Ovis aries: one gene and its partner. The protein of the gene in region 1 interacts with the protein of each later gene in a biochemical or structural test. Links are inferred from orthologs where the notes say so. Each region holds a gene or a part of one and is shown in the gene's direction. Other genes may lie near its edges. The genes, in order: NR2F1 and BCL11A.

Evidence for each region.
Region 2: the proteins of NR2F1 (region 1) and BCL11A form a complex in vitro, tested with the Homo sapiens proteins (2 studies listed by BioGRID). The link is inferred for Ovis aries from reciprocal best matches to the Homo sapiens genes NR2F1 and BCL11A.

Annotation. Positions count from the first base shown.
Region 1 is NC_056058.1:90,688,344-90,692,775, forward strand, and holds the start of NR2F1 (COUP transcription factor 1), read left to right. Parts: upstream 1-1,357; 5' UTR 1,358-4,432. UniProt on the Homo sapiens protein: Coup (chicken ovalbumin upstream promoter) transcription factor binds to the ovalbumin promoter and, in conjunction with another protein (S300-II) stimulates initiation of transcription. Binds to both direct repeats and palindromes of the 5'-AGGTCA-3' motif.
Region 2 is NC_056056.1:63,542,236-63,546,041, forward strand, and holds part of BCL11A (B-cell lymphoma/leukemia 11A), read left to right. Parts: coding exon 1-1,355; 3' UTR 1,356-3,806. UniProt on the Homo sapiens protein: Transcription factor. Associated with the BAF SWI/SNF chromatin remodeling complex. Binds to the 5'-TGACCA-3' sequence motif in regulatory regions of target genes, including a distal promoter of the HBG1 hemoglobin subunit gamma-1 gene.

The DNA of each region.
Region 1 (4,432 bases):
CTCAGAGCACCATCTCCAACAGCCGCCCGACCCCCTTTCCGTAACTGAGGCCGCCGTGGGGGGGGGGGGCCGGGGGCGGCGGGGGCGCACCCCTCCCTCCCTTCCTTCCGGAGAGGCAGGAGGCTTCGCCTGAAGCCTCTCGAGGCCTCCACTTCTTTCCCAGCACCCCCGGGGCACGCCGGATCCCCCCTGGGCCTCTTCCAAGTTTGGAAGCTCAGGGTAGGGGGGCCGGCAGGAAGAAGCCCCTTAGAGAGGGTGTATGGGCCCCCACGGCTCTCGGGGAGCCGCCGCTCGTCCTCCAGCCCCGCCTTAGCCCCTAGCCCGCCCGGCCAAGGGAAGGCCAAGGCAGCTCCGCGGGCTCCTTCCCGCGCCCACCCAGCCCTCGGGCGCGGCCCCCGGCGTCGGCTCCTCCCGCCCCCTCGCGCCCGCCCTGCGCGCCCTCTGACGCAAACGCGCGCCCCTGCCCTGCGCGGAGAGCTCGCTGGTCGGTTTTAATTGCGGCTCTTCCTTTCATGCACTCGGGCTCAGTCCTCACCCCCGGGGGAAGTGACCCCTCCCCGCCCCCGCCCCCGCCCCCGCCCCCGGCCCCGTCCCCTGGTTGCTGGGCTGGCTGCAGATCTCGGGCTCTCTCGCCGCCGCCGCCGCCGCGGGTTCTCCGCTCGGGAGAGCGGCTTGGGGGTCCCTTTTAATCCGCTGACGCTCTCACCCACATCAAACAGTCAGCCATCGATCGCGTTACATTAGGGGGATCCCGTTGCAAACGGCGTCCGCAGGTGGGCAGCGGGAGCCGAGCTCACCCGGGCCTGGCTGCAGCCGGGCAAGGCGCGGGCTACGAGCCGACTCCACAGCGGCTCCGGCTTGGCACCCGCCAAGGGGGTTTGGGGCGGGCGGGGGTTGAGGGGCGGCGGCGCGGATTGCCCAACCTGTGGACCCTCCGTCTGCCCCCCCTCCTCCAAGAGGCTCCGCAGCCTCTTCCCGCTGGTGGGGAGGAGGGTGGCAAATGGAGATGGGAGGGCAATCAGTTTTGAATCTGGGCCGATGCTCGGTGGGGCGCGATCCTCAGCTCCGGGGCGGCCCCGCGGGCAGCGATCCCTGTTCTCCACGCCGCCGCGGGACAGAGGCCGGGGGGAGGGCGGCTCCGGAGCAGGCCCCCCCGCGATAAGTTCTTCTCGACCCTCCCCTCTGGCTAGACCGAGGGCACCGCCCCCGCCCCCCGGCCTGCGGAACCCGTGCGAGCAATCGCTGCCTCCCGGCCTGTCCGCGTTGCAACAACCACCCCGAGTTCAAAAGAAACGATAATCATCGCCTTACTTGCCTGGTGCGGCAGAGATGGGCCGGCTCTGGCTTCTGGCGCCCAAGACTTCCGGTCCTGGGTCCGAGGGCGGCCGGGCCCGAGAGCAGGGCGTCCAGGCGCGGGGAGCCTCCGGTTCCCTGGCGCTCGCTTCGCGCTGCCTCTTGCACTCGCTCCGTCTCTTTCCAAGTTCTCTTTTCCTTCTCCCGGTCTCCCTCTCTGCCTGCTTCCTCTGCCCTCGACTGCCTGCCTTTGTACTCTATGAGTAGGAACATTTAGAATTCATATGAGAAAACTCATTCTTTTGCTTCCTTCTTTCCTTCTTTTTTTTCCTCTTTCCTTCCTTTTTTTTTTTTTTTTTTTTTTGTTCTTTTAATCGTGTTCTCGTTTCACCTTTTAACTGACCAGGAGACTTCGGCGCGATTATTTGGGGAGACGAGAAAGGGCAAGGAGCTCTCGCTGGCCCCCCGTCGCCTCCCCTGAAGCGTACAATGGGGCGGCTGCTTGCAGAGTGCATGGACTGTGTCCCTTCATTATTCGAACTGGAGGGGCTGCGGGGCAGCGGGGCGGGGGGGCAAGACACAGGAAAGCCTTTATTCTGCTCTTTCGCATCGTCGCTCGACACTAAGCGGTCGCCAGGTTCCTGACTCTCAGTAGGACTGGAGAGAGACCGGGAAGCGCAAAACGCACCCCGAAGGGGCAGCGCTTCCCCCAAACCCCCTCCCTGATGACATTTAAAGGGAGAACGAGTATTAAAACACACAAACCCTACCTCCGGCAATAACAGCGTGGCCTTTTTTTTTACTCCCACCTTCACCTGAGGGCGTGTGGAGGCTCGGGGGTGCTGGAGCTGAGACAACTTTGACGCTCTCCAGAGTCGAGGGGCGGCAGGCAGGCGCGCAGCTCCGCACCCCCCGGCGGCTGCGGGCGGCGGCTTTGTCACTCGGCGCCGCTGCGCGCCCGCCTGAGCCTGCCTAGGGGAGCGATCGCAGAACGAGGAGGTGGTGGGGTGGGGGGGAAAGATGCGAGTGTGCGATTGGAGAATATGTAACTAATAGAAGTATCATTTTCCCTCAGTACGATCTTTCAAGGAAGAAGGAGGAGGGAAAAAAAAAAATCCATTGAAAGAATTTTCAAAGTGCTGTGTCTTGGTTTGCAGAAAAGGCACAGGGCTGCGTGCCGGGAGGAGGAGGCGGGGAGGAGGAGGGGACCCGACCGCGCGTCTCCGGGACGCGGCTCCCGTCCGCTAGGTGGCAGCCGGAGCCAGCGATTCCTGCAGGCCTCGCGGCGGGACCCGCTCCTCCCGCCCGGGCCTCCTCTGGCGACCAATCGCCTTTGGGAACCGGGGGTCTCTCCCCTCTTTCCCTCTCTCTGCCCCCTCCCTCTTCCCCTATCTCTCTCTCTCTCTCCCCGTCCTTTCTTCCCTCTCTCGCCCCCCCCACCCTCCTCATCCCCACCTCCCTTCCCCATCTTCATCCCTTCTCTCTCACCCTTTTCCCCCTTTTCCTGGGACTCGGACTCGGCCCGCACTGACCGCCCCCCCCCCCCGCAGCAATATGAGAACTTACTACTCTTTTATTAACAATTATTGGAGCGTTCTTTGGAGGTTAAAACAGCCTGAGGATATCAAAAAGGGGAAGGAAAAAAAGGAAAAATCGGGGGGGGGGGAGTTTATTTTAAACATCACCTTTGGGATGAAGAGGAACCATTGATTCGGACTGATTTGGGGGGCAATTTCTGCGAATTCCAGGAGTGCTTTTTGTCATAATTGAACCTTTCATTTTAAAACCAAAATATACGTTGGATCAAGGTGGGGGAGAAAAAAAGCCAGCAAGTCCCTACTTTGTTTCTTAAAGGAATATAAAATGAGCAGAATCTACTCTAGGGCTGTGCTTGTATGTGAAAACACAAAACAATACAAACCCAGAATATTTTTCAGGACTCGTTAGAACGGTAAGAGTTTTAATTCCCATTTAAAATTTTCCTAACATTTCCAATGATCGTCTTCATGCTCATAAAAGCTAAATTTAAAAACTTTTCAGAAGAAAACAAAATAATGCCTGATTCTCTTTTTTTACCCATTGCAAGGCATTCTTCCCCTCGCCGTCCCTTCCCCCTCTGGTGTTGGTGTATGTGTGTGTGTGTGCGTGTGTGTGTGTGTGTGTGTGACCATAGACGACCCATACTAATCAGGTCTCAGAGTAAATAGCAGCGCAGGGCGATCTCAATGTAAATTGCGCTTGTCAGAAGCACACCCCCCCACACACACACTTTCTTTCCTCCTCCCCTCGCCATCCCCGTCAGTAGGTAGCTGAGAGGGAGGGGAAAGAAAAAAAAAAGAAAGAAAGAAAAAGAGGAGGGGGGAGGGGCTCTCCAACCAATGGCGTGCAGGAGGCTTGGCTAACCTTAGCCTCCCATTTTCTCTCCCCCCGATTCAGGGCTCTGACCAGTCAGTCGCCTTTGATTATCAGTTGCCAGCAGCCCTTCTCTTGGCTCCTTGACACGAGCTCCATATAAGGCAGCGATCTCCATAGAAACGTGTCAGTTTCAATAGTAGTGTCAAAGTTCACTATATACAGACATTCGCACAGATCCCCCTTTCGGAAACACTGCTCTGCGAGTCCTCCCGTTTAAACGCATTCAATTTTGGGGTCTCTCTCTCTTCTCTCTCTCTCTCTCTCCTCTCTCTCTCTCCTCCGCCTCTCTCTCTCTCTCAATCTCTCTTTCTCTCTCCTCTCTCCCCTTTCTCTTTTCTTACATATTCTATTAGTTGTTTCCCCGTATTCTTCTTTTTCTCCTTTTTCTCCCTCCTCCTCTCTTTTACTCCATTCCTGCAGAAGAGTGAGGGCTAAACTTAAAAAAAAAGAGAGAGAGAGAGAGAGAGAGGAGGAGGAGGCACCCCTTTCGTATTCTTCTTATCGTTATTTTATACATATATGATTTTTTTTGGAGGGAGGGTGTTGGTTCCCGGCTGAAGAGCACTTATTTAAAATACTAAAAAAAGAACATTTTTGGGCGATCTCCAGGGTTTTTTTAACTAGCTCTGTGTGTTATAGCAGAAGAAGCAGAAGAAGGAGCAAGAAAGAGGAAAAGAAGAGGATTATTTATTCGACCTACTTTGGATGTCTCTCTCGCTTTTTT
Region 2 (3,806 bases), on another chromosome or scaffold:
CGTTCAAATTTCAGAGCAACCTGGTGGTGCACCGGCGCAGCCACACGGGCGAGAAGCCCTACAAGTGCAACCTGTGCGACCACGCGTGCACGCAGGCCAGCAAGCTGAAGCGCCACATGAAGACGCACATGCACAAGTCGTCCCCCATGACGGTCAAGTCGGACGACGGCCTCTCCACCGCCAGCTCCCCGGAACCGGGCACCAGCGACCTGGTGGGCAGCGCCAGCAGCGCGCTCAAGTCCGTGGTGGCCAAGTTCAAGAGCGAGAACGACCCCAACCTGATCCCGGAGAACGGGGACGAGGAGGACGAGGAGGACGACGAGGAAGAGGAGGAAGAGGAGGAAGAGGAGGAGGAGGAGCTGACGGAGAGCGAGAGGGTGGACTACGGTTTCGGGCTGAGCCTGGAGGCAGCGCGCCACCATGAGAACAGCTCGCGGGGCGCGGTGGTGGGCGTGGGCGACGAGGGCCGCCCCCTGCCGGACGTCATGCAGGGCATGGTGCTCAGCTCCATGCAGCACTTCAGCGAGGCCTTCCACCAGGTCCTGGGCGAGAAGCATAAGCGCGGCCACCTGGCCGAGGCCGAGGGCCACAGGGACACTTGCGACGAAGACTCGGTGGCCGGCGAGTCGGACCGCATAGACGATGGCACTGTTAACGGCCGCGGCTGCTCCCCGGGTGAGTCGGCCTCGGGGGGTCTGTCCAAAAAGCTGCTGCTGGGCAGCCCCAGCTCGCTGAGCCCCTTCTCCAAGCGCATCAAGCTCGAGAAGGAGTTCGACCTGCCTCCCGCCGCGATGCCCAACACGGAGAACGTGTACTCGCAGTGGCTAGCCGGCTACGCAGCCTCCAGGCAGCTCAAAGATCCCTTCCTGAGCTTCGGAGACTCCAGACAATCGCCTTTCGCCTCCTCGTCGGAGCACTCCTCGGAGAACGGGAGCTTGCGCTTCTCCACGCCGCCCGGGGAGCTGGACGGAGGGATCTCGGGGCGCAGCGGCACGGGAAGTGGAGGGAGCACGCCCCATATTAGTGGTCCGGGCCCGGGCAGGCCCAGCTCAAAAGAGGGCAGACGCAGCGACACTTGTGAGTACTGTGGGAAAGTCTTCAAGAACTGTAGCAATCTCACTGTCCACAGGAGAAGCCACACGGGCGAAAGGCCTTATAAATGCGAGCTGTGCAACTATGCCTGTGCCCAGAGTAGCAAGCTCACCAGGCACATGAAAACGCATGGCCAGGTGGGGAAGGACGTTTACAAATGTGAAATTTGTAAGATGCCTTTTAGCGTGTACAGTACTCTGGAGAAACACATGAAAAAATGGCACAGTGATCGAGTGTTGAATAATGATATAAAAACTGAATAGAGGTATATGAATATCCCCTCCCTCACTCCCGCCTGCCACCTCCTTTTTTCACCATTCCCCGCCCCCCCTTCCCCATCGCCCTCCAGCCCCACAACCTGTAGGATTTTTTTCTAGTCCCATGTGATTTAAACAAACAAACAAACAGAAGTAACGGAAGCTAAGAAAATGAGAGTGCTTGTCACCAGCACACCTGTTTTTTTTTCTTTTTCTTTTTCTTTTTTTCTTTTTCTTTTTTTCCTTTATGTTCTCACCGTTTGAATGCATGATCTGTATGGGGCAATACTATTGCATTTTACGCAAACTTTGAGCCTTTCTCTTGTGCAATAATTTACATGTTGTGTATGTTTTTTTTTGTTTTTTTCTTTTTTAAACTTAGACAGCATGTATGGTATGTTACGGCTATTTTAAATTGTCCCCGATTCGTTGCTGAGAAAACACCGTTGCTGTTTCCAGTTCCGTTCTGAGAGAAAAAGAGAGAGAGAGAGAAAAAGACCATGCTGCATACATTCTGTAATACATATCATGTACAGTTTTCTTTTATAACGTGAGGAGGAAAAACAGTCTTTGGATTAACCCTCTATAGACAGAATAGATGGCACTGAAAGAAAATCTCTACACGGTAAATGTCTGTCTCTAAAGGGTTAAATATTATCAATTGGAGAGGAAGAAAAGGCCTTTAATTGACAAACTAACAGAAAAAAAGTTTATTCTATCATTTGGTTTTAAAATATGAGTGCCTTGGATCTATTACAACCACGTTGATGGTTCTTTCTACTTGTTATAAACTTGTAGCTTAAATCAGCATTGGGTGAGGTAATAAACCTTAGGACCTAGAGTATAATTCTATATTGTATTTCTCACAACAATGGCTACCTAAAAATATGACCCGTTGTCCTAGTTAATCATCATTTTCCCTTTCGTTTAATCTTGTAAGCAAAACTGATTATACCAGTATAAAAGCTATTTTGCTCCTGGTGAGAGCTTAAAAGAAATGGGCTCTTTTGCCCAAAGTTTTATTTTTTTTAACTGATGATTAAATTGAATGTGCAACGTGCAAAGGCCCAGAAACATGATTAAATACATTAGTAAGGAAGTCATTTTATGAAGATAACTTGTTTTAAATAATGTCTTTTGAAGAAAAATTCTGGCGTCAGAAGAAATAGATCCAGACCTACTTGGTTGTCAAATGGACAATCGAACAATAAATGTTAGGACCTCGAATAGCATGTTAAAAAGAAGAGACTGACGATAAGGTTTGACAGAGGGTAACAGAGGGGGAAAAATATGTGATTTATTAGCACAACATGGTACTCTTTGCCATTTTAAACTAGAACAGGTGTATAAGCTAATATTGATACAATGATGATTAACTATGAATTCTTAAGACTTGTGTTTAAATGTGACATTCTTAAAAAAGAAGAAAAAGAATTTTAAGAGTAGCAGGATATATGTCTGTGCTCCCTAAAAGTTGTACTTCATTTCTTTTCCATACACTGTGTGCTATTTGTGTTAACATGGAAGAGGATTCATTGTTTTTATTTTATTTTTTTAATTTTTTCTTTTCTTTTCTTTTTTTTATTAAGCTAGCATCTGCCCGAGTTGGTGTTCAAATAGCACTTGACTCTGCCTGTAATATCTGTATCTTTTCTCTAATCAGAGATACAGAGGTTGAGTATAAAATAAACCTGCTCAGATAGGACAATTAAGTGCACTGTACAATTTTCCCAGTTTACAGGTCTATGCTTAAGGGAAAAGTTGCAAAATGCTGAAAAAAATAATTTGAACACAATCTCATTGATGAGCATTTTTTAAAAAAAAAAACTAAAAAAAAAAAACTTTGCCAGCCATTTACTTGACTAATGAGCTTACTTACTCGGACTCAACATTGCAAGCGCTGTGAATGGAAAACAGAATACACTTACCATAGAGATGAATGATTGCTTTCGCTTCTACAGTGCAAGGATTTTTTTGTACAAAACTTTTTTAAATATAAATGTTAAGAAAAAAATTTTTTAAAAAAACACTTCATTATGTTTAGGGGGGAACTGCATTTTAGGGTTCCATTGTCTTGGTGGTGTTACAAGACTTGTTATCCATTTAAAAATGGTAGTGGAAATTCTATGCCTTGGATACACACCGCTCTTCAGGTTGTAAAAAAAAGAAACATACATTGGGGAAAGGTTTAAGATTATATAGTACTTAAATATAGGAAAATGCACACTCATGTTGATTCCTATGCTAAAACACATTTATGGTCTTTTTTCTGTATTTCTAGAATGGTATTTGAATTAAATGTTCATCTAGTGTTAGGCACTATAGTATTTATATTGAAGCTTGTATTTTTAACTGTTGCTTGTTCTCTTAAAAGGTATCAATGTACCTTTTTTGGTAGTGGAAAAAAAAAAAAAGACAGGCTGCCACAGTATATTTTTTTAATTTGGCAGGATAATA